Linked DNA regions of Mus musculus: all the other regions are reported to be linked to region 5. Evidence: microRNA targets listed by miRTarBase, many of them from high-throughput screens and not tested one by one. Region 5 holds a microRNA gene; each other region holds the end of a gene's coding sequence. Distances are between the middles of the regions.
The links. The annotated mature microRNA mmu-miR-3090-3p reads UCCCAGGUGACACCCUGACUCA and lies in region 5 at 2,195-2,216, shown strand. An mRNA with a match to its seed (bases 2 to 7 or 8) in the 3' UTR can be bound and repressed. Matches are read on the target gene's strand: a 7mer-m8 pairs with bases 2 to 8, a 7mer-A1 pairs with bases 2 to 7 and ends in A, and an 8mer does both.

Region 1: the mRNA of Ddx27 is a reported target of mmu-miR-3090-3p. Seed matches in the 3' UTR shown: 7mer-m8 at 1,312-1,318.
Region 2: the mRNA of Ddx51 is a reported target of mmu-miR-3090-3p. Seed matches in the 3' UTR shown: 7mer-m8 at 2,389-2,395.
Region 3: miRTarBase lists Tmem38b as a target of mmu-miR-3090-3p. Seed matches in the 3' UTR shown: 7mer-A1 at 2,238-2,244 and 7mer-m8 at 2,558-2,564.
Region 4: miRTarBase lists Prdx1 as a target of mmu-miR-3090-3p. Seed matches in the 3' UTR shown: 7mer-A1 at 3,097-3,103 and 7mer-m8 at 3,068-3,074.
Region 6: miRTarBase lists Lyrm9 as a target of mmu-miR-3090-3p. The part of its 3' UTR that is shown has no 7-base or 8-base seed match.

What each region holds. Positions count from the first base shown.
Region 1 is chr2:167,033,447-167,038,775 of GRCm38, forward strand. Ddx27 (DEAD box helicase 27) reads left to right here. Exons shown (of 21, transcript NM_153065.3): 17 at 117-211; 18 at 288-408; 19 at 590-677; 20 at 1,027-1,098; 21 at 1,193-1,499. The coding sequence ends at 1,211. It overlaps Znfx1 (zinc finger, NFX1-type containing 1), which reads right to left. Exons shown (of 14, transcript NM_001033196.2): 14 at 2,347-5,329. The coding sequence ends at 3,279. Among named protein-coding and RNA genes, the nearest start is that of Ddx27, 21 kb to the left of the region's middle.
Region 2 is chr5:110,656,570-110,661,898 of GRCm38, reverse strand. It overlaps Ddx51 (DEAD box helicase 51), which reads right to left. Exons shown (of 15, transcript NM_027156.3): 11 at 5,258-5,329; 12 at 4,982-5,083; 13 at 4,748-4,811; 14 at 4,514-4,648; 15 at 1,403-4,318. The coding sequence ends at 4,292. Among named protein-coding and RNA genes, the nearest start is that of Ddx51, 5.8 kb to the right of the region's middle.
Region 3 is chr4:53,858,508-53,863,836 of GRCm38, forward strand. It overlaps Tmem38b (transmembrane protein 38B), which reads left to right. Exons shown (of 6, transcript NM_028053.2): 6 at 1,375-3,511. The coding sequence ends at 1,593. It also overlaps LOC115490001. Among named protein-coding and RNA genes, the nearest start is that of Tmem38b, 35 kb to the left of the region's middle.
Region 4 is chr4:116,697,701-116,702,764 of GRCm38, reverse strand. Prdx1 (peroxiredoxin 1) reads right to left here. Exons shown (of 6, transcript NM_011034.4): 6 at 2,765-3,594. The coding sequence ends at 3,509. Mmachc (methylmalonic aciduria cblC type, with homocystinuria) reads left to right here. Exons shown (of 4, transcript NM_025962.3): 4 at 1-331. Among named protein-coding and RNA genes, the nearest start is that of Mmachc, 8.2 kb to the left of the region's middle.
Region 5 is chr2:133,562,566-133,567,894 of GRCm38, forward strand. Mir3090 (microRNA 3090) reads left to right here and starts at 2,143; the gene lies at 2,143-2,229. Bmp2 (bone morphogenetic protein 2) reads left to right here. Exons shown (of 3, transcript NM_007553.3): 3 at 1-331.
Region 6 is chr11:78,837,543-78,842,871 of GRCm38, forward strand. It overlaps Lyrm9 (LYR motif containing 9), which reads left to right. Exons shown (of 4, transcript NM_001076681.2): 3 at 548-640; 4 at 1,581-5,329. The coding sequence ends at 1,598. Among named protein-coding and RNA genes, the nearest start is that of Lyrm9, 14 kb to the left of the region's middle.

The DNA.
Region 1 (5,329 bases), 33 Mb from region 5:
AGTCTTCCCTGAAGGGTACTTTACTCAGTGAGCTGTCACCTCTAGTTCCTTCTCATTTTAAGCTTTAATGACATAATCAAATAGCCCCTAAATTCCACACTCTGTCCTCACTCTAGTTGCTAAGGCTCTACAGGAGTTTGACTTGGCCTTAAGAGGAAAGAAGAAAAGGAAGAAGTTTATGAAGGATGCCAAGAAAAAGGGGGAGATGACGGTGAGTGGCCTCCCTGTGGAGTAGGGTCCCATGAAGCACTGGTGTGTTCTGTGCTCATCCCTCACTCTGCCCCCAGGCAGAGGAGAGGTCCCAGTTTGAAATCCTCAAGGCACAGATGTTTGCAGAGCGGCTGGCCAAGAGGAATCGCAGAACCAAGCGAGCACGGGCAATGCCTGAGGACGAGCCTACAGGCCCTGGTAAGTGATAGGGTGTCCATTCTGAGGCTCGCACCATGGCAAGAGCTGGCAGGGATGGCAGTGATCAAGCTTTGGAGGAACTGGGATGTATCCTTGAACCTGGCCCTCCATGGATTCTGGAATTCTCTCCCTCAGTGTCAGGGAACTCAGTAGCCTCTGACCCATTTTTCTCTGTGTATAGCTAAAAAGCAGAAGCAGCAGCAGAAGTCTGTGTTTGATGAAGAACTCACCAACACAAGCAAGAAGGCCCTGAAACAGTATCGGGCTGGGTAGGTTTAAAGTGCCGCTCACACGAAAGCACCCTTGTCCATGCTCGCTCACTCTGCCTCTTGCCTAGCGCTTCCCAATGCTGTAATGATGAGCAGAGCAGAACTTAGTGTGCTTCCATAAGCCCCCTCATCCAGACAACTTCAAAAAGCCTCTGCCCACTGATGTGAAATTGGTGTCTGGCTTCCAGAACTGCACATTGTTCTGCACAAGCCCACAGGAGACTGAATCCCAGGCACTGCACTCCCCTCAGGGTACCCATCCCACCTGGGCTGGCCTGTGAAGCCAATATGGGTGACATCCCTCACGTGTCCCACAGCCTACCCATCTCATTCTTCATCTGTCTTACAGCCCTTCCTTTGAAGAGAGGAAACAGTCAGGTCTGCCCCGCCAGAGGAGAGGGAACTTCAAATCTAAGTCCAGGTGATGTTGCACTGTAGAGGGCAGAGGCAGTACCCATGGGCGGAGAGGCAGGCTGGGTGGGAGGCAGTACTTATAATATTGATTTCCTTAATAGGTACAAGAGAAAGAAGTAGTCTCAGTGGTGTGAAGAAGTTGGTGGGACAATTTTATATCCCTTCCCTGTGGGAAGTCATCTTGTCTTGGTCTGGTTTTTTTCCATATATAAAACCCCAAACCTGGGGCTGGAGAGATGGCTCAGACTGCTCTTCCAGAGGTCCTGAGTTCAATTCTCAGCGACCACATGGTGGCTTATAACCATCTATAATGGGATCCGATGCCCTCTTCTAATGGGTCTGAAGACAGCTACAGTGTACTCACATACATAAAATAAATAAAATCTTTAAGAACAGCAGACCTTCTTGAACAAGCCTGTTGTCTGTGAATCTGTTGGGTTAGTATCTAGGAGCTGTTTCTTAGTGTTAGTCATTTATGCATGCATGCCTTTTTAAAAATGTGAGCATCTCACTGTGTAGCACAGGCTAGCTTGGAGCCTGCTGTTAAGGCCTCCAATTTGTGGTACTGTAGAGATTGTTGGGGTTACAGGTACGCACTGCTGTGCCAGGGTTCCCTTCCTGACTGGCTTCCCTACACATATTAAATGCAAGTAGTCTATCTGGTGAGTTTAGACTGCCTTACCTCCGTTTGCAAAGGGCCTGTTCTCCAGCTGCATGCCCTGCTCACAGCTGCCAGCTCAGGGCTCTGTGTTAAGTCAAAGCTCACCTGCTGCTGGGCTGTGGGTCAGACCTGGCTCTGCCTTTGGTGGGAAGATCTCCATGTTAAAAGATGGGGCCGGTGAGAAGTCTTAGTCAACAAAGGCAAGACTGACCGGGGCTCCATCTTGGGGACCCAGGCAGTGGAAGGAGAAACGCAGCCCCTCCCTAGTGTCCTGACACCAATGCCCACCGCATGGTCAAGCACAGTGAATGTGCTAGGAACAGCAAGCAGTGTAGTCTCGGGACTCAGGAGACATTTGCTGTACTTAGAGAATGTTACCATGGGTAAAATTTGGCTCATCAGTTAAATGACCTCCACTACCAAAAATGACATGCCTCACCATAGGCTGTGCCCTACCCACAATTGCTAATCAAAGTTAGGAAGAGAAACAAACCATGGGTCTAGGATGGTGATGGTTGTTGGACACAGCTGAAACCTTAGGTGCATCAGTTATCAATACAGCAACAAAGCAAGCACAGATAAGAGATGACAGGCTTTTTTCAATCATTGTTTTTATTAATTGGCTTTATAGGTTAAAGTGCATAGTAAAGACAAAAAAAGGAAATGCATACAATAAGAAAGGGGCTTTCCTAGACAACATTAGAAAGGACCTGAGATGCCTAAATCTGTTCTAAGGAACATGGAAAGAGATGCAGATGCAGGCAGTAGGCCTGGAGTCGGGGCCTGCAGAAGCTGCTGGCATGCTAACCCTACCCAGGCAAAGGCTGCAAGGGAGGGTGCCTGGATAAAGACTCACAGGAGGTGCTGCTGACACTGAACCTGCTGACACCACCACCACCACAGAACCTCTCCTGCAGAGAGACACATCCACCCCTGCTATCTGAGTGCAAGTTTGACGAGGGTGCAGGGGTCACTCAGCTTGTGTCTGCTGTGAAAGCCCCGCCCCACTGGGGACAGTGAGTATATAACTGGGCCATGGAGAGTTGAAGTGCCTGTCACAGGCCTCCATCTCCAGGAGGGCAGGAGCCCAAGGAGTAGGGTGCCTGGGTTCTTGTGCTCCTTGAAGGTAAAGTGGTTCCTAAAGCTCTCTCTGGGTTGCTGTTATTACAATGGTAGTATGCAAGTTAGGGCCTGGACATGAGAAGCAGTGCACCCTGGGCACGCGCAGAAGTGCTGGCCATGCCAGGACCCAATCACCCTAATATCCCCGGGTGGAGGCCGGAAGCTCCCAGGAGTCAGTCCTACTTGCTACAGTCGAGGAGCTGAGAACTGTGGGCTCTGCTCAGTGCTGGGGGTAAAGTGCTTACTCTAGCGCAGGGTACATATAGAATCACATGTGGGCAAGCCCTAAAAGTGGATCCTTAGACAAGTGCGAAGACTAAAGGACACTAATAAACTGGTTCCTCCATGGAGGAGCCAACCCTGGCTCTGAGGTGGCAGGGCAAAAGGCCTTGAGGTGCCATCTTCTACATCATCCTGTGGATCTCCTCAAAGTTCATGAAGTTGTTGGCTGTGTTCGACCAGGCAGGGTGCTGGGCTCCATCCATCTCAGAGGCCAGGTGGTTGCTCCTCTCTAGAGTGTGATTCTCCCCACCGATCACCTCCTGACACTCGGGACAGGTACTCCTTTGCATGGCGCCCCCACACTCAGTAATTACATAGATGTGGCCATTGGGGCACTTGAACCAATGCCCACGAGGAACACCCATGGCAGTGACAATCTGCACTCGTTCCTCATCTGAGATGCCCAAGCCAGAGCAGGGAAGGGTGGTTTTCAGAGCATCCATCTTTTTCTGCACAAGCTGTTCATCTTCCTGGGTGAACTTACTTGTCTTTTCAAGAATGTTCCGGATGCTGGAGACCTCTTCTGCTATGCTGCCTTTCACCTTCTCGGCCATCTTGCAGCGCATCAGGAGGTTCACCAAATAGGTGAGCCTCTGGATTTCACTCTGGAGGTCACTCAGTTCCTGGCTGCTGAAGCTCAGGCGCTTCTTGGCCAGCCACTCGTGGACCTGCTCAAGTCGAGTCCTCACGCTCTGCTGTTCTCCACAATGCACCTTCTCCAGTGACCCCTCCAGGTTGGCCAAGTGGTCATAGAAGCGGATAGAATTCTCCACCAGGCCCAGGTCCTTCACTGACAGGTTTTTCTGGGCCAGCTTCTCTTGAAGTATTAGGAATTCTTCAGGACGCAGCTGATGGAAGAGGGTCTTGCTCTTCAGCAGGGCCTTAAGTTGTTCCTGGCTGGTTGAAATCTCCCCTGCAGAGCCCTGGATCTTCTCCTTGACAATCTCGATCTCTTCCAGCCGCTGTTTGATGCTGGTTCCATACCTCAGGTTTTTGCGGATGGGTACCTGACAGATGGGGCAGACTTTCAACTTGATGGCAACTTCATCATCCTTCTGCTCATTCATGAAGCGGTCCAAGGCTTGCACTTCAAAGATGTGGCTGCAGTCTTCTAGCTGCACAAAGCGGGCATCAGGCTCATCCTCAAAGCCAAAAAAGATTTGGGTGACTTCATCTGGTTGGCAGACACGGCACTTCTTGGGACATGGCTCCCCACACAGACCGATGCAAGGGTGGCCACAAGCCAGCAGCTTGGTACAAGGCACGTAGCATGGGGGCCGGTTGCAGGGCTCTGAGCAGAGTTTGGTGCACTGGTAGTGCTGGCAGCGCCAGACGCAGGGCTCCACGCAGGGGCTGCACAGCTCCCCACACTTCTTCTTGCACTGGCTGTGGACACAGCGGTTCTGACATGTTCGCTGGCAGGGTGGGCACTCACCAGTGCAGGGCTCCTGGCACTTGTGTGAGCAGATGAGCAGGCGCTTACATGGCTGTTGACAGCGCTCATGGAAGCGCCCTTCAAAACAGCTGTGACAGGAGCCTGGGCAGGGATGGCCGCAATCTAGAGTAGTGTCACACTTGGTGGTACACTTGACTGGCAGACCATATTTTATATCTTCCACATTGCCACACTTAACCAGTTGACTGTGCCCACATTTAAGTTCCACGGTGACCCTTTCTGAACACAGCCGCACACAATCCTCACCACAGAGATGGCTGCATCTGTGACCACATCTTAGTATCTTGGAGCAAGGCTCCTGGCAACAAAACTCTGACTCTGACATTGAACAAGGGACCATCTGTTTGTGACCACACTTCAGAATGATTTTGGGCACTTTCACCTGACAAGGCTGACACTCTTGGAAGCAGACATTTGGGCACCGGTGCCCATCCTGGCAGAGGACTTTCTGGCATGGCTTCATGCACTGGAACTCCTTGTGGGAGGAGTCATATGGATGGCAGGCACGTGTGCACACATGACCACAGGCCAACCGGAACTCACAGGGCCGGCTGCAGCCTCCTTCCGGTACTTTCTGGAAGTCAGAAGCTTTGGATACAAGGGTGTGGGTCTCAGGGTGGTTCTGGCAACAGAGGCGGAGGGACGGGCCTATCTGGTTGTTCTCTCGAAGGGTATGGATGATCCTGCTCCACAAGGGCACCTTGGCAAGCATCTGCA
Region 2 (5,329 bases), not on the chromosome of region 5:
CTGGGCTGGGCAGGACATGATGGCTCTAGCCCTTAATCCCAGCTCTTGGTGGGCAGAGGCAGGTAGATCTCTGTGAGGTCATGGTCTGCTGGGTCTACACAGAGGACTCCAGAACTGCCAATGAGAGAACCCTATATCCAAAAAAGAAAACAAGACAAAACCTACCTCAAAAATATTTTTTTTAATGAAATGTCTGAAAAACATGTTGACCACCCTGAGCCATCAGGGAAATGGGAAACAACTTTGAGACTTCAAATATCTTACACCACTCAGAATGGACAAGGTTTTTAAAAATAGACAGTAGAACCTGGCATGACTGTAGAGAAAGGGGATCATCCTTCACCAGTTTGAGTACAAATTGATACAACCACTGTAAGTCAGCATGGCAGTTCCTCAAAAAGTTGAGAATAAAGTTACCCCATGATGCAGCTACATCCTTGGGCATATACCCAAGCTTCTATTATCTACTTCTCCAGGGTGCTGCTTCTCCATGTTAATTGCTCTATTCACAATAACCGGGAAATGGAAACAGCCTAGAAGCCCATCAACTGATGAAAAAAATGCACCTTTACACAATGGAATTTTCAGCGGTTTTAAAACATCATTCGAGCCGGGCGTAGTGGCGCATGCCTTTAATTCCAGCACTCGGGAGGCAGAGGCAGGAGGATTTCTGAATTCGAGGCCAGCCTGGTCTACAAAGTGAGTTCCAGGACAGCCAGGGCTATACAGAGAAACCCTGTCTCGAGAAAAAAAAAAAAAAAAAAGCAAAACAACAACAACAACAAAACATCATTCAAGTGATTAGATATGGCTGGGGCTGAATACAGCTCAGCAGTTAAGAGCACTGACTGCTCTTCCAGAGGTCCTGAGTTCAACTCCCAGCAACCACATAGTGGCTCACAACCATCTGTAATGGCATCTGATGTGCTCTTCTGTGATTAAAGGCCTTTTAAAAGACCTTCTGTAGATATGTTTTATGTAGCCCTGATTGTCCTGTAACTCATTCTGTAGACCAGGTTGGCCTGAACTCAGAGATTCACCGTTCTCTGCCCCCAAGTGCTGGGATTAAAGGTGTGGGCCACCAAGCCAGGCACCAACCGTTTCCTTGAAAATTATAATTTTTTTCTTCAACATATCCATGTACAACTGGTGCCCTTTGGTGCCCTTAGAGGATATTAGAGCCTCTGGAACTGGAGTTGTAGACAGTTGTAAACCATGTGGGTTCTAGGAACCAAACCAAACCCTATTCAAGTAAATGCTCTTAACTGCTGAGCCTTCCCTAGTTGCTCAACCACTTTCTGATTAAATCTCAGGCTTACTCCATGAAATAGTAGGTGCTGTTAATGGAGCCAAGAATCTGTGGCTGTATAAGTCACAGGCTTGAGCACAGGGTAAAATGAGCACAGGGTAAAAAATGACTTTTAATGACACTGCTATCCCCATAGGTAGGTGTACTGCCAACTTTCATCAGAAAAGCTTTCAGATGACAGCTGCTCAACAAGTCCAGAGTGAGAGTGTGTGTGTGGAGTGTTGACCTCTAAGTGGAACATTTCACACCTCTCTGTCCAAGCTCAGGGATCTTTAAGGAAGAGGGTACAAAAAAATTTAAGAGCCAGAGGCAGTACATAACTTCAAGGGAAAATGCTTTCAAGACACAATAGAGCAGTAAGGCATATGAACTCACAGAGACTGTGATGGCATGCACAAGACCTGTATAAGCTGAGGAACTACTGTTATTACTGCTACTGAAAGAGGGACTCAGTTTTCTTTGGTAGTGTGACCCCTAGTAGGCTGACCACATTGCAGGGCAGGAACCACACTCCATAATACAAATCAATTCAATGGGTTTAAACAACAACAGAAAACCTTGGGGCTAGATGGGTGGGGAGGTGAGAGTAAGGATGGATATGGGAGAAAAGGGTGTGTGTGTGAATATGATCAAATTTCACTGTATGAAATGCTGAAAGCATTAGTAACACAATGTTGATTACTCAAAAGGAAGTCTGACCTTCAGACCAGACTTCTCATCAGCAAGATCTTTCAGTTTTGGTCTGTGAAAATCCTAGCTCTAATAACTCACATTAAAACCATCTGTATCTGGCTAGGAGTGAAGGTGGCACAGGCCTTTAATCTCAGCATTCAAGAGGCAGAGGCAGGAGAGTTCAAGGCTGCTGGTCTACAGAGCAAGTTCCAGAACAGCCAGGCTATGCAGAGAACCCTGCTCAGTAAACAAACATTTTTTTAAAAAAACCAGCTGTTTTCAAAAATCAACTGTGACTACCCTGTGAGAGATCAGTATTTACCCATAAAGGCTGTGATTTAAGGGACACAATGATGGGCTGGAGAGATGGCTCAACAGTTAAGAACACTGGCTGCTTTTCCAAAGGACCCAGGTTCAATTCCCAGCACCTAAATGGTAGATCATAATTGACTGTAACTCAGTCCCCCTCTTCTGGTTTCCATAATGGACTGCAAACACATGGTACACAAATAAACATGCAAACAAAATAAACATTAAAAAAAAAAAAGAATCAGAATGACACCGGCTACTTTGACTCTCTCAGTTTTGGGTACTACTCCCCAGTGAGCAACCTCCCACACAGCAAGAGGCTAGGGTCAGATGCAAATTCCACAGAGCTATGGTCCAGGGCAGAGAAAGCTGTAAGGTAACCACTACAGGCCTGGGAAACAAACAGGCCCTATAGTGTGATGAGTGAGTTACTCCAAATGTTTCACTGTCTTGTGTCCTCCTGTGGGGTAGCTTCAGTGGCTTCTACCTGGCAGGGTTAATGTTGACATGAGCCCACGTTTGTTTCGGTGCTTCTGTGGAAACTATTCCCCCAGTTTTAACCTCTTCTGCAAAATGCCTGATGCTGTTGTCAGTCTTGAACCTCCCACAATGGCTTTGCCTACTTTATTCCTACTATTAGGCTCTACCTAAGATTTTGTTAGAAAACAGGCATTTCCTTAAAACAAGCTTTGGAAAAACATTTCCTGGGCCCAACACACATGAACCAAACCTCATAACTGCAATCCTCATGCACTTTATATATCGGTTTGGTCTAATTACAAGTTATTAAGCTTGTTCTAACACTGTGAACACCCAGTCAGCTATCCTAGCATCTATCCCTTTTAGTATCACCAATTCAGATAGAAAGCCAGCACATGATCTTACTAACCTAATCTTGGCAGACAGTGTTTGGGAGATCTCTGGGTGTAGGGGAAGGGTCTGATCCTGTGAGAAAGAAAGTGATGCTAGCTTGGGTCTAGGGCAATGCATGTTCTGAAAGGTCACAGAAGAGGCAAAACCAAGGCAACTGGAACAAGGCACCAGTAAGGGAAGCCAGGGCTGTGGTAGCTTCAGATTTAAAAAGGACTTGGACAGGGACACAGAGATGGCTCAGTAATTAAAGCTCTTGTAGAGGATCCAGCTTACAACTGCCTGTAGTTCCAGTTCTAGGGGATCCAACAAACACTTCTGGCTTCCTTGGGCACTAGGCATATATGCTATACAGACATACATGCAGGTAAACACTCATATATGTGAAATTTAAAAGGGAGGGAGGCCTGGTTAAAGCTGTGGGAAGCTTCCCCTTATCCAAGTTCCAAGGGCCTGAAGATAGTACCCGTAGCCTGTGCCTAGGTGTTCTGGGTTAGAGGAGTAGTTAAGTGGCTGTGTTGGAGCTATCGGGAATTTGTATAGGTTCAAGTGATCCATTTATTTTTTTCTGAATACAAATGAAAATGTTTATCTTTTTTGATACACTGACTTTTTAAAAACAGGCCTTCTTAAAAGCACAGGTAAGCGCTAATTCTCCTTGACTATATATATTCAGGGAAGGACTCTCACATCATTTAAGAACTTAAATGGGTGGGAGGCTAATTATAAAGTACAATCTTGAAGACTAGTAGCCAAGGAAGTATCTTCAAGGCTGCTGCCAACCTGTTCTTGGGCTCCAGTGACTTGCCTGGGGCAGGCTCGCCATAGCTTCTCTGTAGACAGGAGACGCTAACGTATAAGCACTTTGATCACCACAGTCCAGTCACCATAGTGTTTGCTCACACTCCAGAAGGCATCCTTCAGCTTCACCTGAGCTTATTTCCCAAGACCAACTGGACACCAGCAGTCCAACCCGAGAGCCATTACTTTTCAGGACGAGGCCACCATCTAGGCTGCATCAACCAAGACGACCAGATGCCCACGGCACTGGGGAGAAGGGTTGTTTCCACTGGAACCCCAAGGAACTTATCTTCTGTTCGCACGATCTTCCCTCCAGGGCCCTGTTCTCATCTAGGCTGCCTTCAGTTTCTGCTCCTCCTGTGGAGGGAAAACGAGCTTTGCACCATTTCATCCCTACTGCTAGCTACAGCCCCCTAGCCCTACACCTGAGAGACAACAGACATCATGCTAAAGGAGGCACCTCCCATGGCATGAGGCTGCTTCCTGCTTGCCTCCCTCTCCTGTGTGTGATGGCATTTCGAGGGCAGAGCCTCCACTTGCAGAAGGCCTCACCTTGACAGTTTTCTCCAACTGAGACAAGGCTGTCTCATAACGAGCAACCAGCGGCTGCAGGAGCTTCCTGGGGATCTCATGGTGTGTCAGCTCAGGCACCCCAGCTTCTGACACCATCTGAAGGAACTTCCTTTCCTGGAAGGGAGGCGTTTCATGGGAAGGAGTCTGATCAGGCCGGCATCTGTAGCAGCTTGGCTCTGCCCATGACGTCTGCTAAGAACTAAACAATCTTACCTGCACTTTCAAGAGAAGTGTGAATGCCTGTCCAGTTTTCCCGGCTCGAGCTGTTCTCCCGACCCTGAAACCGAGCACGAGTGTTTTTGGACAGTGGCTCCTGGCCCAGAGACCTGACAGGACAGTGCCTCTCTTGGCCATACTGTACATGACCATCATGCAGGGTGATCCTACATAGGATGACCAAGAATCCGTAATGTGGCCTATCAATGGCCACTGCCAAGTACCCCTTACCTGTGCACATAGGTCCTCAGATATTGTGGGGCATCGTAGTTGATCACCAGCTCCACACCCTGCACATCAATGCCTCGAGCAGTAGCATCTGTGCTGATAAGGCTGATGAAACACAGGCAGTAGGGCTGAGGGCCAGGAACAAACATCCACCCCTGTGCCTACTCCGCCAGGGTTAGTTCCAAGTCCCTCTTGGAAATCAGCTGCTCGGAAACTAGGGGGTCCCAACGACAACCCAACTCTATAGAGTAGGTCCTATCTTGTTTCCCTGGTACTCACAGCTGGATCTTTCCTTGTTCAAACTGCTTCAAGATTTTCTTCCTTTGGCCAGGCCCATAGCGGGAGGAGAAT
Region 3 (5,329 bases), not on the chromosome of region 5:
TTCTGAGGACCCAGGTTCAATTCCCAGCACCCACATGGTGCTCACAACTATCTGTAACTGGTTCATGTGAAATACAGACAAATGCGGACAAAACACTAATACTCATAAAATAAAGTTAAAAAAATAAGACAAGGTGGGTTTGTTTTTATTAAAGTAGCTGTTTCATAGTACACATTTCAGACCGTCTGACCGTCACAAAGTTCTGTGTAAGTGAGCTTTGCTTTATATATGTGGTAGTGTTAGTATCCTGTAGATTATATTGTGCCCTTTTCATCTGACGTGGTCTAAATTATTTACCATTATTTCTGGCTACTTTAACTTGCATGGCACACACTCTTTGTAACTTCGCAGCCCCTAGATGATGTCACACTGAATGATACATTATTCTTGATATCAGGCACCCCAAGCAAGTGGGTTGTGTAGGGGCCTCCTTTAGGGATGTCATTGCAAACGTTTCTAGTTTGATTCTTTTTTTTTTTTTCCCTGTGATCTGGAAGAGCTGACTGTTACAGAGTCTTAGGGCTTTGAAACTAAGCTAGATCCTGAGTTCTCTCTGCATATCCACTAGGGGATTAGTCTCATTTCTAGATCAAGTCTGGACATTGCTGAGCAGTGTGATTTATGAGGTAAAGGATTGGAACCACTTTTCAGTCCAAATTCTGATGTCTTTGTTAGTCTATACTTAAGTAATTCAAGCAGAAAAGATTGGTGGGAGGATGCTTTCTGTAGTGTCTTTTTGGGATATATTCTGCAGCTCCTGAAAGCCTGCACCATTGGCCAGAGTGTGTTGTTAAGTAGTAGTTGAACCCAAGTCTGTATTGTGTCTTGCTTTCCATTCAATTTGCTTTTTATTTTGGGGCAAGTTACTTAACCTGTCAGAGCTGTGACTATTCCTCTCTGTGATGAAGGCAACATTAATTGTTGCATTAAGTTCAAAGTAGAGAGGAGTATAAAGTATTTACAATTCTGACCCATGCCAGACATATAGTAATGATAGCTGTATTGGCTGTATGTGTAGATGCTAGATAAGATTATATCTCATCTAAAAAAAAGATTATATCTCATTTCCCTTGACTTCCTTATCTGTCTGTCTGTCTATCATCTGTCTATTTCTCTCTCTCTTGTTATTTTTTCTTTTTAAGTTTTGGTAGTAATGGTTATACTTCATTTGGTGTACCAGTATCAGGTACATTTTTAATGAATAATCTTTAAATTCTTAGCGATCTGAGATTTTTCCCAGAATTTACCATATTTTTTTCTCCTACAGATTAAATGAAAAATACATTTGAATCCCTTTGCCCACTATTTTTCTCTCTCGGTTTTAAGAAACAAAAAGTGTTTGTACTGAAATTCAAAGTTAATTTTTCCCCCTAGGTAACCATGATGATGACAAAGGATACTGCTGTGACTCTCACTCCCTTTGAGGACACCCTGACTCGGATGCTTTTTGGCCGGCGGCAGCAGCAGCAGTTTTCATCGAGTGAAAAGAAAACTGAAGTCAAACCGTCTTCCAATGGTTCTGCCTCAAGTGCATCGAAGCGGGGAGCAGAGCCTTCGGGTGGTGCTAAGAGACACGCCAAGAAAGAAGACTGAGGGTCGCCCTGGGCGTCGGAGGCAGGAGGAGGAGTTACTTCTCTCAGAGTGTGCCCGTGGTTCTGTGAATGATGTGAGAGAGCGCTTATGTGTAAGGGTGGAGGAGACAAAAGAGGAAGTGCTTTGGTTCAGGGACACCGCTCGCTCTGCTGGTCGTAGCTCTTGGGGTCACGAGTGTATCATGTGAATTTATTTTTCTGGTGTAAGAGATTCTCATAATTATTTGGATAGTTTTATATTGATAAAAGAATAATTTTTTAAATGTTACAAAAAGTTCACTTGTTACTGCAAAATTCTAAGAATTTAACAAAAAATTCAGTATTTTTTTTTACCTTTTGAATGACTATAATTGTGTTTTAATTCTGCAGAATTAAACTTTTACTTCATATTTCCAGTATAATTCCTGTATATAGAAGACGATTCCTATTTAATTTTGAACATGGAGAACTTTTCCTAAATACTTTTTAACCTAAAATAAACTAATAGTGTACATTTGGTGTATACAGTTATTTATTTTATATATCTTGCACACATTAAAAATACCTGAAATTGTCTACAGCCATACCACCCTGAACACGCCCGATCTTGTCTGATCTCTGGAGCTAAGCAGGGTCGGGCCTGGTTAGTACTTGGATGGGAGACCGCCTGGGAATACCGGGTGCTGTAGGCTTGAAAAAAAAAACCTGAAATTTATTTTAGTTTCAAGTATTATTTTTCATTATTTTTAATATGAGTCTCAGTTTGAAGTTTATTTCTTGCCCTTGTTTTAAAAACTACTTTTTCCTTAGAAAAGCAGGGTTACAATTTGTGTGTATTGTTTTCTTTTTGCAACAGGAGTCTCACTCTGTAGCCCAGGCTGGCCACAGACCTTCTACCTCAGCTTCCAAAGTGCTGGGATTATGGGTCCGGGCCACCGTGCCAGGCTAGCGGTGTAGTTTTTATTGTTAATAATCCTGTGGTTGGAACCTGGGCTGTTTTGTGTCACCAGCTGGAGAGAGATAGTCTTCACATGTTGTATGTTTCTCCTGACTCAGTTGGTCTGAACAGGCTGGTGGCATGTCTCTGTGACTGAACAAAAAGTACTGTCATGGCTGAAACGGTGTCCTGCACCTCTTCCGGCGATCATTGCTTCACGAGTTTATTTGACTGTCTCTTCTTGCAAGTTTGCATTTGGTATCTCTGCTCAATAGATATGTGCGTGTATTTCTAGTTTTATCTGAAATGAAAGTTGTTTTCCTGTGAAAATGCTCAGCTCTCCTGAGGACTGTCTTCCCACATTTGATGTAAACCACAGAACCTAACCTTATGTGGCAGACTACTTGACTGAGACAATACAACATTAAACCTGCTGTCTCGTGGACAAAGTAAAAAGCAAGCAAGCAAACATACTAAGTGATAGATTCTATTTGCTCGATTTGGTGCATAACTGCCATGTTACAACATTACAGTTCTGTAGGATGACTTTCATCCTAAGGACGTGGGCCTGCCGTCTGTGTTAGGCATTTTTGGTTGGTTAAGAAGCACTTAAGTGATATTCAATATATAAAGTTTTCCTTTTTTGTTTTTTTTTTTTGTGTTTGTTTTGTTTTTCAGAACAGGGTTTTTCTATATAATAGCACTGACGGTTCCTTTTTTAATTTTTAGCAAACTTGCACACTTGCAGATACTTTACTTGATTAAGAAAAAGATTTTGAGTGGCACTTTTGATAACCTACGTACGAGAAAAATGCTTATTTTTGATATTGTGACAAAAAAGCACTAAATTGCATTTTCTATTATATATTTGACAATCTGTAGTTAAAAACTTTGCAAAATTAATATGTTATTGACCAGTTCTGGTTTTAACTGTAGTTAAAATGGTAAGAATCTTGTTTTTCATTTGTATTAAAAACAAATTCATTAAAATAAGTATTTTAGTATGCAAGGGGTATTCTTCTTCTTTTTTTTTTTTTTTTTTTGGTATTGTTTTGAGGAAGAAGTTCAGAGTTCTGTGTTATTTTGATACTCGTGACTCACAGTCTGAAGGGGACATGGCACTTGAGAATGGATTAGGCTTAAGACCTCCTACCCTGGATCTGCGCAGGCAGTCGACTCTCAGAGACCAGCTCTTTATTCCTTCCCTACCGGGAATCCTAGATGTGGTCCATAGGCCAGCTTCACACAGCCCAGTCTCACCTAGGGGAGCTCGGAAGCTGCTGGACCATGGCCCCCTGGGGGCAGTGATGGAGCCCCTAGCAGAATGTGCCTAAATACTTTCAACCCAGGTCACCAGATTCTTCATTCTTCCTTGCTGACAGTTTTCAGTAAGAGAGAGAGAGAGAGAGACCAGGTATGTGTTAGGTGGATTTCACTGGGAACTCGGACCAGTGGCCTTTCCAGACTGAGAGCAGTGAGGGAGTGAAGGGTGCACACCTCACTGGGTGCAATCTGTTTCTTTCAGCACACCGTGACTTTCTAATTAAAACGGACTTAAGGGAAAATATCTACTTCAAGTCACAAGTTGATTGCAATAGAGAAGAATGTTAAAAACTGAACCGTGTTTAAGATGTTTTGGAAGAAGAGGTAGAAAGACTGTAAGGTCCCCTCAGGAGGGGATGGATGACAGGGTACATGTCTTCCTGACCTAACAGGACTGAATTCAGAGACTGTCGGTGTGCACAGGGCCTGGAACTTTGAATGTAGTACAGACTGTTTGGAACTCCAGGCTTCCCCGTCCTGGTTTACGGTGTGCTGGGACTGCTTAGCTAACACAACTTATTCTTACTGTCCATCTTTTACATGAAGTAAAGTTGGTAAGTGCCTGTGCACCTCAGGATTCCTCCCTGTGTCTGTGCAGGTGTGCAGATGGAGGGTAGAGGTCACGGTTGGGGGTGTGCATGTGTGGGCATGGGTGTGCCATGGCGTGTGTATGGAGGACAGAGGACAACTTCCAGGAGTCTATTCTTTTTTTTTTTAAATATTTATTTATTATTATATCTAAGTTCACTGTAGCTGTCTTCAGACACACCAGAAGAGGGCATCCGATCTCTTTACAGATGGTTGTGAGCCACCATGTGGTTGCTGGGATTTGAACTCAGGACCTTCAGAAGAGCAGTCAGTGCTCATAACCTCTGAGCCATCTCTCCAGCACCCCCACCCCCAGGAGTCTATTCTTTTTCACCAGGTGGGTGACCAGGAGTGAACTTGGGTTCAGGCTTGGCAGTAAGTTCCTTTACCCCCTGAGCTGTCTCGATTCCCTAATCCTCTTTTTGAGATGAGGTCTCAGTTAACCTGGAGCTCACCAGGCCGACTACACTAAGCAGCAAGCCCTGCGATCCCTGGACTGGTATCATAGCTCTCTCCATAGGTGATGGGGATCTGAACATGGGTTCTCACTGCAAACACTATACCTACCACTCTACCCTCACCTCAGAAATTGAGTTTAAACAAACACCAATGGCTGTGAACTCCTGACCAGAACGTGAATATTACAAGGACTCCAGGGAATTAATATCCAGTCAATTCCTTCTCCCAAGGGACATAATATAAAAGGAATCTTAGCTCATGTAGCTATCTTAGAAACTTAACGTATTTTTAGACGCTTGTAACTTGTGTTTATCCAAAGCTCATAGTCTACTTAAGTTCCACCATTCAGTCACCCTGCTGATGAACATCAGGCTGTTTCTAACTTGGGGTGTTTCAAATAAACAATTATGAACACTTTTGTGCAGCTTTTGTTAATTATGTTCTTTTTGAC
Region 4 (5,064 bases), not on the chromosome of region 5:
AACAACCCCTGGGGGCTGAGAATCACAGATTTAGCAGCTCCTAGGGGTACCCACCACATTGAGCTATGCTGAATTAATATTTAAGTAAACTACATTGAAACTGCCCCGACCTACAGTGTGCTATTACTAAAGGCTCAGGCAATCTTATACTTATGCTCAAATAGATGTACTTTGAATTCTGGAATGTTGGAAGGACATGATGTCATAGGATTATTTTGTCAACCCTAACCAAGAATCCAGAAGAAACTTCCTGACTTTACAGGATCAGAAAGGAATATTCTCTCATCACAGCTAAAATACAAGTAGTTGAATACAATCATATCCAAAGCCACCAACTTTGTTTGCCTGTTTGTTGATTCCAGAGATAGTTTCCCAATTCTGATATTTCAAATTTCACTCCCAGGGTCCAGGGAGGTTAGTTGGTAAATTGTAATGTGCTGTTTTTACTTGTTGAAAACTAAAACAGGAGACAGACCAGTCTCAGACTCAATCATGTTTCCTTGAACAGGAATCCACCCCCGCCCTCCAAACCCTGCAACAGGGAGGGAGAAGCAAACTACTGAGGGTATTAAGGGATCTGCAACCCTATAGGTGGAACAACATTATGAACTAACCAGTACCCCGGAGCTCTTGACTCTAGCTGCATATATATCAAAAGATGGCCTAGTCGGCCATCACTGGAAAGAGAGGCCCATTGGACTTGCAAACTTTATATGCCCCAGTACAGGGGAACACCAGGGCCAAAAAGGGGGAGTGGGTGGGCAGGGGAGTGGGGGTGGGTGGATATGGGAGACTTTTGGTATAGCATTGGAAATGTAAATGAGTTAAATACCTAATAAAAAATGGAAAAAAAATATCTAATAAAAACTAAAATAAATTATTAAAAAAAAAAAAAAAGAAAGAAAGAAATTACACCCAGGAAGGAGAGAGGTTAAGGGCACTGGATACTCTTGTAGAAGTCCTGAGTGATTCCCAGCAATCACATGATGTGACCTGGTGCTGTCTTCTGGCCCGCAGGTATATGTGCGGGGAGACCATGTGTATACATGACATGTATATAACATGTATATAGTAAATCTTAAAAATGCATCCTGAAAACTGGTAGGTGTAACATTTCCAAGGTTAGTGTTACTTATTCCGTGATATAAAAATGTAGTGGCAAAAGGGAAAAAGAAGCCCTAATAACTTTTTCAAGCACTTTGCTGTGCCCTGCCCAGAACTCCAATGTTCCATACTTTGGTTGCTGGGAACAAGGGGACAATTATTGGAGCTTATTGGCCAGCAAAGCTCAGTAAGCACCCAGTTCAATTAAGACTGCCTCATCAGGTGGCTCACAACTGCTTCTCATTCCAGCCCCAAAAGGTCAGACACATTCTTCTGGTCTACAAACAAGCGAAGTGTTACCATGTAGCCTAATCTAGCACTCATCTATGAGATTAAAACTTGACAGGCCCAGTGGTCATTCCTTTTTCCTCCTAGATTACATTCATATTTGTGGGAGAGAGGCATATCACAGTGCATTTATGAAGTCAGAGGACAACTTGTAGGAAGGAGTCAATTGTCTCTTCTTCCACCATGTGGCAAGTATCTTTAATGTGGTGGTTTGAGTAGGCACAGTCCCTAGACTGTTTTTGACTGCTCGGCCATAGGTAATTGCACTGTCAGTAAGTGTGGTCTTGGTGTGAAGTGTCACTGTGGGAACAGGCTTTGAGGTGTCCTATACTCAAACCACACCCAGTGTGGCACACACATCTTTTTCTGCTTAGAACTCACAACTCCTTAGCCAGCACCATATCTTCCTGTACTGTGCCATGTTTCTCACCATAATGGACTAAATAATGACTATAAGCCAGCCCCAATTAAATGTTCTCCTTTTTTAGAGTTGCCATGGTCAGAGTCTCTTAACAGCAATAAAACTCTAAGATACCCAATGAACTTCTTATTGGCCAAGTCCTATTTATTTTGCAGAGCAGACAGACACTAGGCATTTATCCTAAGAAGCAAAAATTCTGTTCCATGCAACCCTCCCAGCACTAAACAGCTCAAATAAATCTTTCCCAGACTTGCCTATAACCCAGCAAACATGAACTGCAGTGCAATGGCTGAGAGGACAGCAGGGCTTGGGTCTGCTTTTCAATCTAAAATATTGTTAAACTAAAAACTTTCTTCTGTGTGGGTATGTGTACTGAAGCCTTTTTTTCCCTTTAAAGACCAGGCCTAATGCATCACACAGGTGAACCTCTGATCCTTTTGCCTTCAGTTCACTAGTACTGAGATTACAGGTGTGTACTATCACACCTTGTTTACATGGCAATAGGGTTATAACAAGGCTTGTGCACACTAAACGTAATAGTTAACTTCTGTCAACTTGACAGTATTTTTTTTTCATTTATTCATTCACCCAGGAGAAGAAACCTCAATTTAAACATTTCCAAGATTAGAGTGGTCTGTGGGACATTTTCTGCTTCAGTTCCTCCTTGAAGTCCTACCCTGACTTTACCTCAGGTATGACTGTGACCAGGAAGTATAAGCCAGATACTTTTTAGTTGCTGTGTTCAGCAACAAGTAAAACAGAATACCAGGCAAGCACTCTACCAAAAGCTTTGTCTCCAGACCTGAGGCACCTTTCAACCTTTCAAACCCAATTTTCTAAGAAAAACAGGGGCTTTGGAGATAGTTCAGCTGTGACATGCTTGTGAGGAAGCAATTTACTCCATGGAACTCCCATTTAAAAAAAAAAAAAAAAGCTAGGCATGAAGCAGACAGTGGTGGCACACACTTTTAATTCCTGGCAGATTAAATAGGCAGGTAGATCTTTCAGAGGCCAGCCTAGTCTACAGAGTTCCAGGACAGCCAGGGCTGTTACACAGAGAAACCCTGTCTCGAAAAACAAAAGGCCAACTATGGTAATCCATGCTTATAAAACCAGCACTAGAAAAGTAGATCCTGAGAGCTTACTAGCCTCACATATACATCAAGTTCTAGATCAGTGAGAGATCCTGTCTCAAAAGTTAAGAGACTGGAGAGACAGCTCAATGGTTAGGAACCCCGTTGCTCTTATAGAAGACCCAGGTTCAATTCCCAGCACCCACATGGTCCCAGGGTATCCAACAGGCAGGTAAATGGTACACATGCTGGGGAAACATTCTTTTTAAAAAAGATAAACAACACTCAAACACTTTTACCTACTCATGAAAATAAAGTCCTTTTTAAAATTCCAATGTTGCCTTTAAAGAATGAATCACCAAGTTCTCAGAATTCACGTTTAATAGATACTTAAAAAAAGAAGAAAAAAGAATTAACAGGTTGTTTTCTGTGACTGATAGAAGATTGGTCTGCCCAAAACACAGCTCAGACCATTACCAATAGTGGAAGAAAGGCTATCCATCCCCAGCCCTGTAGGAAAGGCTTATCTGGAATCACACCACATCATGTGTTTAAGCACGAGTAGAGTACAAGAGTTTCTTCTGGCTGCTCAATGCTGCCTGGCAGAAAAATGGTCCAGTGCTCACTTCTGCTTAGAGAAATACTCTTTGCTCTTATTGACATCAGGCTTGATGGTATCACTGCCAGGTTTCCAGCCAGCTGGACACACTGCCAAGAGAAAGATTTTTAATTAGTAACCTGTTTAGCTGTGTATTTCCCTCCCCTTCATCCTTGTATGTCTTCTGTGGCACATGCTGACAGGCTATGGTAAAGATATGGAGGCAAGCAGGTTATGAATTTGAAGCCAACCTAGGCTACACATTGTTTTATGGCACACACCTTTACTACAGCACTCAAAAAGCAAAGGCAGTCAGATCTCTGGAAATAAGTTCAAGGCCAGCCCTGAATTCTAGCCAAGTGAGACCTATCTTGGCCAAATTCCACAGGCTAGACTGGATGATAAGACTCTGTCCCTCAACTCCCCCCCCAAACCCAAAGCAGCTGGAGAAGACAGCCCACATCTGACGGTGTGCAACTGCCTGGCACTCAACACCTTCTACATGCATAATTCTAAAAATAAACTTTAATTTAAAAGTCTGATCCTGGGGGAAGAAAAAAAAATCTGATCAACTTTGAAATCTGCCACTCAGGATTTTGGTATAGCTAACAATGTTTAATTACACCTCACTACAGCCTATGATATTTATCTTTTATTTTCCTGAACCAATTGTTATCTCCAAGGCTTGCTTTGCTGCCTCTGTCTGCTAACCTAGGCCTAGTCCTGAAGACGTCTAGCCTCTGTACAATCTTACCTAGGCCTAGAATGTTTTCAGCTTGAGGCTTTCTGATCTCTAACTGGCTATTCTACTCAGCTCATCTGGCTCAAACTCCTCTCTAGGCTAACTAATTCAATCTCCTTTCCCTCTCCGCCTCTCTTGAATTGCTCTGCTTAGTTTCATACTAACATTGGCAAACTCTTCTAATCTATACTATGCCTATAATAACCTGTCTAAAATATACATGACAAGCCACTAAAATTTGTAGATGTGTAAGTATTTGTACAATTTTATACAAGTTCTGTACAACTTTTTATATGCTCCAAATACTACTAAAATGTTTTTAAAGGGGGGTGGAGTGGGAAGAGGTGATAGCAAAACATCCAATGAAAGGCAAAAACGCAGCAGGACCTAGTCTCAACCAAAACCAAACTTAAAACATGCAATAGGGGCTGGCGAGATGGCTCAGTGGTTAAGAGTGCTGACTGCTCTTCCGAAGGTCCTGAGTTCAAATCCCAGCAACCACATAGTGGCTCACAACCACCCATAATGAGATCTGCCGCCCTCTTCTGTTGAGTCTGAAGTCAGCTACTTACATATAATAAACAAACAAACAAGCATGCAACAGAAGGTGCTAGAGCCCCAAAGACCAACCAGGAGCTGACTCCAATGCAATCGCATTAGGGTCTCTTTATTATAAACTCAAGTTTGGGCCTACTCAACACCAATCCACAGGACCAGTTGGTGAAGCATCCCTGAATTCTCATTGGGACAAGGTTTTCTAGGAAATGGGAGAAAGTGAGGGAGTACCCATCCTGCCAAGTATCTAACTGAATGACTTGCAGAGGACAAGTGGGTGATC
Region 5 (5,329 bases):
TAATATTTCTTCTTTATTAACATTGTAGTCATATATGTGTACAATTGATTATCTTGTGGGCCCTCATAAAGAAGCAGAAATTGGCTTGTATTTTGTGTTTACCCTATCAGCAATCTCTCTATTCTCCAAAGCACCCAATTTTCTACATTTGCCTGACACGCAGCAAAATTGAGCATATGTTTCCTGCCTGCACCCTGTTCTCTGACCTGTCAGCTTGCTTTTCTTTCCAGGGATATGTGTTTGAACATATTTCTCCAAATGTTAAACCCATTTCAGATAATAAATATCAAAATTCTGGCATTTCATCCTATAAAACCTAACCCGTGAGAGCAAATGGTTTGTTTGTGTTTGCAGTGTCTACCTGTGTTTGCATTTTCATTTCTTGGGTGAATGATGACAAGGTTGGGGTGGGGACATGACTTAAATGGTTGGAGAATTCTAAGCAAACCCCAGTTGGACCAAAGGACTTACCAATGAGTTAGTAGTTTTCATAAGGGGGCGGGGGGAGTGAGAGAAAGCCAATGCCTAAATCAAAGCAAAGTTTGCAGAACCCAAGGTAAAGTTCCAGAGATGATATATCATACAACAGAGGCCACAGTGCCTAAAAAAATTAAAGAATGTCTGATCAGCGTCTCAGCACATCTACCAATTGGCCAGATGCTCAAACAGAGTGAAGTCAGATGAGGTTCTGGAAAGTGAGTCCTCTATGATGGCAGAGCTTTGGTGCTCAGGTTGGAAGCAAAACCTAGGGAGGGAGGGCTTTGTGGCTGTTTGCAGATTGGGGAATCCAGTGCTAGTTCCTGGCAGGGTTTCAGGTCAGTTTCCGGAGTGTGTGTCCTGTAGCCCTCCGTCATGGTTGAAGCCCAGGTCTCACCTCCTCTCCTGACCCGTGCCTTAGAACTGACTTGGAAAGCGGTGTGCTTACAGCAAGACAGACTGTTATAATTAAATTCTTCCCAAGGACCTCCGTGCAATGACCCCAAGCACACTTACCTTCGGAAACCTTAAGGTTCTGAAGATCTTGTTTTAAATGACTACCCTGGTTAGCTTTTGATGTGTTCCTTATCCCTTTAGTTGTTGCACAGGTAGAAACGATTAGACCCAACTATGGGTAGCCTTGTCCTCCTGGTCCTTCAGTCATTCTCTAATGTCTCTTGCTTGCCATGGGCACTGTAACAAACTGCAATCTTAACATCTTATAAAATGAATGAACCACATATTTACATCTCCAAGTCCTCCAGATGGGAGTGCGATCATTCCATAAGGATCCCACCTTCTGGCAGGTCTATCCAGTACATATTTTCTGCTTCATTGGTCTTGATTTTCTTGGCTAAAATTACTTGTAGCACAGCAGGCCCCATGTGACATATAGGTATATACATACATGTATGTGCATATAGTGTGTACATGTTCTAATTTATACATAGCTATGTGAAGATTATGTTACATATGTAGATGGTCGCACTTCTGATTTCCATTTAGGTTCAGAGAGAGACGTCACAGTAAATGGAGCTATGTCATTGGTATATACCCCGAGTGGTTCAGGTGTTCTCTCTATTTTTTTAAGATGGAGAACACTCATCTGTACTATCGAAAATGAGCCAAATCACTTAGCAAATTTCTAGTCACTTGCCTTGCTGTTAAGATACTGATTCACTGGGTGCTGACATGCTGAGCCCCTCCCTACTTTTTGATTGAAAGGACAAAGGAAGAGAGCTTTGCAGTAAAGAATGGTTATATTGTGGGGGCGAGGGGGGCGGCGTTATAGATCGGCATATATGTGAGGAGGTCACAACAGCCTGCACTATTCCTTTTCTGTTTTATGTCTTGCAGGGGAAGGGACAGGTAGGGTGGGGTTGAGGGGGCAGGGCACACACATCTACTTGGATAAATTGCATCTCCTCTTTCCTTCACCCCGCCACCATATCTTAAAGCCTTATGACATCCTCTAGGGCAGAATTTTCTCACCAGCTCCCCGCCCTACCAACTTCAAAGTGAACTTCTAACTAACTTGAGGGGCCAAAGTTCTAAATAAAACTTGTTAGAGTTTAGCGGGCACCTCAGTCATCAGGAATGCCTCCAGGAAAGCAAAAAAGCTTGATGTGTGTACAGCCCACGTGGTGGAGTCCTGCCACCCTATGATTCCTGTCCCAGTGGTCTGGGTGGGGCCTGAGATCCTGAATTTCTAATGAGCTCCCAGGTGACACCCTGACTCACTGTGCCAGAGGACTGCAGTTTGAGTAGCAAGGTTGTGTGGACTGTTCTTTCGATCATGGCTACAGAAGCTGGCTCAAGTACAGCCCCTTCGTGTGTAAAAGCCATGTGTAAATGAGAAGAAACAGAAGGCAAAGCTGCGTTGCATGGCATCTGAATCAGTGCCCTGCAGTTTTGTTTTTTGTTTTTTTTTTTTCAAAGACATTCTTTTTCCCAACAAGATGAGTGGCAATCTTATGTTCTAGCCACTCTTAGACATGAAAACACTGGGTTGCTTATCTTGTAAAATCTGCTCTGCTTGCTTGCTTGGGCACGCTGCAGTCAGTTTAGTCAAATGCGTGTCAGTACATCTATATGTATGAGGGAGCAGGTGCAAGTCCTTAGAAATGTACTTTAAAAAACTTGAACACTTAAGTCAGTGTGCTGAGCTGCTCCTGTGTGATGTTAGTGCCAAGCACCTGAGTTAAAGGGATCTCTTTGAAGGCAGAGGGTAGATGTCGTATGGTTGAAGCATTTGTTTATACTAAAATGATGCTTGACTTTTTTCTAAGTTATAAGACAGTACACTGTATAAGTTCATTGAACCTAGAGGGTGGCATAGGACTCCAAATCTGGTATGGGAGGTTTGTTCTAATGGAAGTTCGAATCTTTTTTGCAGTTGGCTTGGAATAAAGTGCTTATGTGAATGGGCTTAAGCTAGGGAAAAAAATGGGTTTCCCTCTGCAAAGAGGGTCAGCACAGAAATAACTTCCTGGCTTTGCTTGGCATGAATGCCACTTGTTAGCAGAATGCCCTGTGGGGATCAAGGGTAGCTTGGGCAGCACCTTACTCGGCTCTCAGAAACTCTTAGAAGCAACACAGACTTTAATATTTGTTGAAGAAATGTCAGGATGAATATATTCTTAATCTCAACCAATCTTGTTGTGTAAGACACACACACACACACACATGCACACACACACACACACACACACACGCACACACACGCACACGCACACACACACACACATGCACACACACACACACGCACACACACACACACACACACACATCCCTGTGGGTGAACAGACATGTGCACATACACACATACAAGCACACATATTTGCATACACACGTACATGCTAACAAGCACACATGTTCACATGCACGCATGCACACACATGCATGCACATCTCTGAAGGAATTTTCGTTTGCTCATGTCTAGAGTCTGAATGCTGAGGCAAGAGCATCAACCGTCCCCCACCCCACCCCCTTGGCCAATCCCTATGGATTTATCATTTTGTTTAGGTCTCTAAACTCTGAATGGAGACCCTCTGAGGTGCTACACCATACGCTGACTTTAACAGCACTTAAAAGCTTGTGTTTGCCTGTGTGCTGGGCCCCTCGCCAAGGCATTGCTGGGAGTCCATTACTGTTGCAGTCCATTCTGATGAGGAGGTCTCTCAGCAAAGCCCCGATCTGCTCACAGCTCTCCTCATAAGGAGCAGGAACTCATCTGGACCGAATTTACCCTAGAACCGCTTGGCCACAACACTATGAGAGAATAATTATTGAACTATTTTACTGTACAACTATTTCCAAATTGTTGATTTTTTATTGATTTCAGGAGGCAAGCTAATTGCCCCATGGCAACTTGATGTTAACATTTAATGAAGATCAGGAAGCAGAGTTTATGAAAAGCGTTTGTATAGCGACTGCAAAGCTTCAAGAACTGTTTTACACTTCCTGACGGGGCTGGGCCTCGCTTAATGGTTTGTTTTTATTGCTTAAGAGTGTAAACCGTGCCTTAGCCCAGTGTGTGGAAACTATACCCTCATCCCGCATTGCACATTTTCTTGTTGCTTTTTCCTCGCTTCCCATGTCATTGTACCATCTACAATCAAGACTTTCTCTTCTTTGTATGCAAGCAAGTTTCTATCTTAGACGTTGATGACACTACATGCACACACACACACACACACACACACACACACACACACGCACATGCATGCACATAGCCTGATGAACTGAATGTGCTGCTTCACTGTGTTTGGGTGGAGTTTCTGTTCAGCACTTGGTTGCTAGACAACCAAGCAGACAAAATTTAGCGATTCAAAAGGCATTTTTAAAGACGACAAATTTTGAGTGGCTGAACTCTTTTATCTCTGACTTTATGGGGAAGGTGCAGGTTTCTTTCAAAGATCTTGTCTCTTCCTGTTTTTTGCTGAGTAGATAGCTTACTGGTAGAAATTGTGTGTGTGTGTGTGTGTGTGTGTGTGTGTGTGTGTGTGTGTGTACAGCGATCATGTGTTTGCACATGTGTATTCAGGTGCACGTGCACATGTGTGCACAGCCGTGTGGAGGTCAGAGGTTAACATCCAGTGTTTCTCTCAATAGCTCTGGGCCTTGGTTTTTCAGAAAAGGCGTCTCACTGAACCTGGTTCTCATCAGTTTAGCTAGGCTGTCTGCCAGCGAGCCCCAGGGATCCTCCTGTCTCCGCCCCTTGTGTACCCCCAGCACTGGGGTCCAGACACATTACCCACCATACCCAGCTATGTTTTAATGTGGGTGCTAAAGCGCTTCATTCACTTGCTTCTTCTTGTGCAGAAAGCGATTTAGTTACTGAGCCATCTCCCTCACCCTGAAGAGTGTTTTGAAGTCTGGCTCCTTCAGGATTGTCTGAAAGCTTTCTTAACTGCTGTTCCCATTTGCTGGAACTTGCTTCCCACCTGGAAGCTAACTTGGTTTCCAAGGGCATGTTTTAAATCACTAGTAAAGTTGAGCTCCGGCTCCAAGCTCCTCCAATTGTTTCAATGTCAGGGAGTGATTCCTGTTGGAGGCAATGTTTAGAAGCACCAAGCCTGGGTGTGGAGGGCCCTGTCTCGAAGAAGCGACCCCAAGTTTTTGCCTGATAGATGGTATTGAAAATGTTTTCTAAAACCTTCGTGAAAGCCTAATTTGAAATCAAAGTCATTTTCTGATTTCTGTAACGTGCTCCAGGAGCGAGTTGTAAAATCGGGATCTTTATAGATCGGCCAAGTTGGGCTTGTGTTCACACGTTCGCTCACATGCGCACACAGTTGGCAGCTGACAGGCTCCATGCTGAGATCTTTCTTCCTCCTCTACCCTCTGACAT
Region 6 (5,329 bases), not on the chromosome of region 5:
CTTCCTGGACAGGCACCGAGTGGGCTCCTGGGATGAGTAGGAAAGTGAATGTGGGTTTGGGAGCACAATCAAGGGAGGGAGGACTCCATTCTTTTGGAAGAAACCTGAGGTTCACAGGTCTTAGGTCACTGGTCAGAAGCCCCCCGGATTTCCCAGGGTCCTTTGTCCCTGTGCCTTCTCTCCCTTCCCCGTTGCTCTCCCAGCACCAGCACCTAGTGGCATCGAGGCCAATCCCTCCCCAGCACACTTCCATCGATGTAGATTCCTGTGCTGAGCAAATCAACCCCAGAGATTGTGGCTCCCCTTGGCCCTGCCAAATAACCTAGCTGCCCAGTGGCTGGGTCTCCTTTTCGCCTCCCTGCGGGCTGCACTGACAGTTCCGCTGCCAAATAAACTAGGGCTCCAAAGCTGTGGTCTAAGAGCAGGGTGGGCCGGATGAGCACACCTCAGCAGAGCTAGGTGACCAGTGCCTCACGGTCTCTTGGGACTGGGCTCTCTAAAGCTCTGGATTTCACATGGCCATGTCCGTTTGTGCTGAAACCTACAGAGTTTCCAAGTTCATTCAGATGAAGACAACTCCGAGAGAATCCAGCAGATTATTAAAAGAGCCATTGAAGATGCCGACTGGATCATGAACAAAGTAAGTGCTTGCTTGGCCCTGGCACTGGAATGGGAATGCTGTAACCTCCTCGGCCATCAGGGGGCGCTCGCGCATCACAGTTGAAAACAGAGGCACCTGCACTCCTCCTAGGTAGGAAGATAATCTCTTATGGTTGTCCCCCCCACCCCCCCTTCCGGTCCCCAAAGCCGACCTTAAAGGAAGCCGGCTAACTGGCTTGGTTCCCATGGCTCCCTCAGCTGCCCTATTCACCCCAGGACCTGGTGGTGGTACCACCCACAGTAGTCTGGGCCCTCCATATCAACCATTTATTAAGAAAATACCTCACAGACACCTATAGGCCAATCCGGTAGAAGCTGAGGGTGCCTCTTCCCAGGTGGCTCGAGTTTGTGTGAAGTTGATCAAGACTAGGCTGCTGTCTAGGACCAACACCTAGACTGTAGGTGGGATAAAGGCACCAGGAATGTGGAGAACTGGAGTGTGCCCCCAGATCCTTGTTGTCCTAGCGCAGACGCTCCAGATGTGGGGTTTAAAATCCACTTTGTAAAAACAGATTTTGATAGGGCATTGACCTCAGTGGTCGACTGCTTGCCTAGTGCAGAAGCCGCTGGGGCTTATCCCTGACAGAAAAATCAAAACAAAGGCAGGAAAGCCTCGATGATTGGCTGGGGACCCTGGGTGTCTGAGGGTCTCCTCTGCCTGGGACTTTTCTCCCACAAACAAGATTCAGAATAAGGCCGAGCCCTGGTGAGTTCCATGCTTAGTCCCAGTGCCCTCGGCCTCCCAGCCTTTTCATTAAAGAAGGAGGGCCTAGGCACCAACTCGATGTGAAGGTGAAGGGTCTCCCGATGGAGTCTCACCACCTCCCAGAAACCCCTGCAGTCGTGGAGAGGCCCGTGTGACACAACAGAGCCCTCCCCCATGGCTTCCCTCACCCGTCTCTCATCTCTCTGTCTTGCAGTATAGGAAACAAAACTGAGTGTCTGGAGCTTACGGCGAGCGCTTAGCTGCCCTGGAGTCACTTGGAACTGAGAAGCCTTCTGCTCTTGGAACAGCATCAGTTCTGGAATATTCTTTGATCTTGTTGGCTGAAAGCAAGAAATCGTAACTGACATTTGGTGAGGTGGTTCTCGTCATTGCAGCCATGTCTCCAGCGTCTTTTATGTCTGCTTTTCCAGACAGAAACGATATGCAATTTGGGGAGAATTTGGAGTTTTTTTGCTTCTTCTCTGTGTTTCTCATTTTTGCCTATCTGTTCTTTTACTTTGCCCTGAAGGCAGTTAATTTATTCTGGAGGTCCCGTCACCGATCTCCCAGCCCCATGAGAGATGTCCCCTCAGATGACCACCTGTATAGAAAGAAACGAACGGGCTTGAGAACCAGGCAGCTGTGGATCTGAATCCCAGCCGGCATACACGCCATCTGTCAGGTGCCCGAGTGAGCCTGGGGGGGTGAGGCGGCAGTCACGTGCCAGCTCACACCAGCTCCCTGCACAGGGACCTTGCTGCACAGGGACCTTGCTGCACAGGGACCTTGCGAGGAAGCCGCTGTGCTCCTCGTCCTGTTCAGTGACTCAGCTGTGAGTGCGTCTTGTCTCCTCTCAGAGTCCACACGCCCTCTTATCTGTGCCATGCTGTGTCCGTCAGTCTGTTAAGCAGCGGCTTCCTCCCAATATGCTCCAGGCAGAAACCCTGACCCTTGAAGTGGGAAAACATCTACTACACTAGACCAGCAATAAGGTGCAAGTAGGCAGGGTAGACACCAGCAGGTCCAGGCTTCCGTGCTCCACAGTGTGTCCTCTCTGGAGAGGAGATTGGGTCCAAGGGGAAGTGGCCCAGGTGGGCGAAGTAGCCAGAAGATGCAGAGAGGCCACACTGGGGGTTGAATGTTCGTGGGGCACTCAGGTGAGCTAGTGCCTGTCTGTGCCCTTGCAGTTCTGCGGGATGATGTGACCTCTGTCTAAGCAGAAGGGGCGGACAGTCCCGAAGCACGTGTGTCCACTTGTGAAAGCTCACAGTTTTCTTCCTCCTCTTTTGATTTATTTCAGACAGGATCTCAGTGTATACACTGGCAGGCCTTGAACTTTTGAACTTTCAGCAGTCTTTCTGTCTCTGCCTCCCAAGCACTTAGATACAGGTGTGCCACAACACATTGCTGCTGCTGCTGCTGCTGATAAATGCTCGTCAGGACAGTTTGCAGGATGCAGCTCACTTCTTCCTCTATGTGGGTCCCAGAGACTGAACTCGGGCTATCAGGCTTGGTGGCAAATGCCTCTATCTGTTGAGTCATCTGTTGGCTCTTATTATTTCTTCTTTAAAAAAAGAAGATCTTTATTTTATTTGTGTGTACCACGTGTGTGCAGGTGCCCTCAGAGGCCTGAGGACATTGGGCTCCCTGGAACTGAAGTTATAGGCAGTATGAGCTGTCTGATGTAAGTGTTAGGAACCAAACCTGAGTCTTCTGCAAGCAGTTAGCGCTCACACTCACGCACACACTCACGCTCACGCTGAGCCATCTCTCTAGCCCTCTATTGTTTCTCCCTGACTGCTGTTCTCTGAATAGGATTGTTCCCTCGACACGTGTGTCAAACAACGCTAAGGACTTGGGTAAGTCAGACACCCACTTGCCTGGAAGGATCATTCCTCAGAGACAAGCAGAGCCACAGGTTTGGGCTCCCAGATGACTGCCAGGCAAAGGGCAAGAGCAAAGCCGCAGTCCCTCCATCCCCACTGCTGCTGTCCAGTCCATCTGAGCCCAGGGACCAATCCTTACCTGGTGGTGTTCGTGGCAGTAGAGTAGCCATGTGTGCCACCATGCCTGGCCTTAGGCAGAGTTGTTCATTAGAATGGGGCTGAGGAGAAAGGACTAACACTGATTTGAGGAGCTGGGGCTGCCACTCACAGGGAGTGTGAGAGGGGTGTGGGGTCCCGTTGTTATGAGGGTGGTTTCAGAGAACACAATACAGATCAGTGGCCAGGTTATCCCTATGACATAGGACATTGACCTGTATCTGGTGGGGTCTCCCTATTGATAAAATAAGGGTGGAAGACGGGCTTATTTCATTTGTTGAAAGTGAGGGAGAGGGCTGAAGAGCAGTTAAGAGCACTGACTGCTCTTCCAGAGGTCCTGAGTTTAATTCCCAGCAACCACATGGTGGCTCACAACCATCTATAATGGGATTTGGTGCCCTCTTCTGGTATCTGAAGAGAGCAATAGTGTACTCACATTTATAAAATAAATAAGGCCGGAGCAAGCAGGGCCAGAAAATATATAAACAAAAAGAAAAAGGAAAACATAAAGAAAAAGGCTACTTTAAAAAAAAAAGAAAGAAAGAAAGTGAGGGAGAAAAACTGAATCTCCATGAATGTGTCCTTAATATTTGATCCCTCTCCAAGATGTCTTCTCCAGTCATGTGTGTGTGTAAGTGTCCACATGTATGTGTGTGAGTGTCCACACACACATGTGCCAGTACCTGTGTATACCTGTGTGTGCACAGGGAGAGCAGGGGTTGATGATGGGTTGTCCCCTCTGTTGCTCAGTACCTGGCATTCTGAGGCAGGGTCTCTCCCCACAGGTCACTGATTGATGAGACTGCTAGCCTGCAGATTCTGGGGGTCTAACTCATGCTCTCTCCTGCCACACACACACACACATCACCCGGGCCTCAGGTGTGTGCCAGTGAGCCCAGCTTTTCTGTGGGCATTAGGGGTCTGAATGCAGATCTTACTCATTGTGCTGAGCTGTCTTCACAGGCCTTTCCTTCTTGTTCTTAAGGACCTGGTGGCAGGTGGAAGTCTGACTTCAGAGTTGCTTTGCAGTTGCTGGCCCTACTTGATGGGATGGGGACAAGAACGGTGGCACGGGCTCTGTCTGCAGTGGGTAGACCATGGAGTGGCATCAGTTTGATATGGAAATGGCAGTGTGGAGAAGATCCCCTCCCCAAGCATGTTAAGTTAGCATAGGACCGAAGTCAGTGGAATAGCGGCCAGTGATGGCTCCCAAGTGCCAGAAGCCAGGCACAGATGGAACAGTATCCAGTGCCAACCTCCATAGGTGCCTCATCTCACAGGCTGAGGCCATTCTGCTCCTTGAATATGATTGGCTACAGGTCCTGGCTATTGACCTAAGTGCAACAGGTAGAATCCAGGCGTATGCACACCCTTCTTTGTTCTATTAATAAGAAACCGAATTCTCTCTGGTTTTGTTCGAGTATCGGTCAAGGAATTTAGTGAGAGTGGGGTGTAGGGGAGCCAGCTAGTGCATCTCCTGTGTTTTTGAGGGCTTTAGTTAAGGATTGTAATGTGACCTCATTGTAAACAAAGCTACCCTATCAACCAAGAGAGGTAATTGGCTCCTGCAAGATTTAGCTCCTAGGGGCTGGCAAGATGGTTCCAACAGGCACTGCTGTGCAAACCTGACGACTGGAGTTTGATCCCCTGATTCTGTGTTAAGGAGCAAAGAGAACACCAATGCCTCTCACCTCCACATGAGACACGTGGCATACACACACCTGCGTTCACACATCATGCACACACACAGTGATAACCATAAAAACAACAGTAATCTAAAGCATACATTATTTTGGGGCTGGAGCCATAGCTCAGTAGCTAAGAGCACCTACGGCTCTGGCATTAGTCAGAGTTAGAACCACATCTGGTAGCTTACAACTGACTGTAACTCCAGCTCCAGAGGGATCCAATACCTCTGACC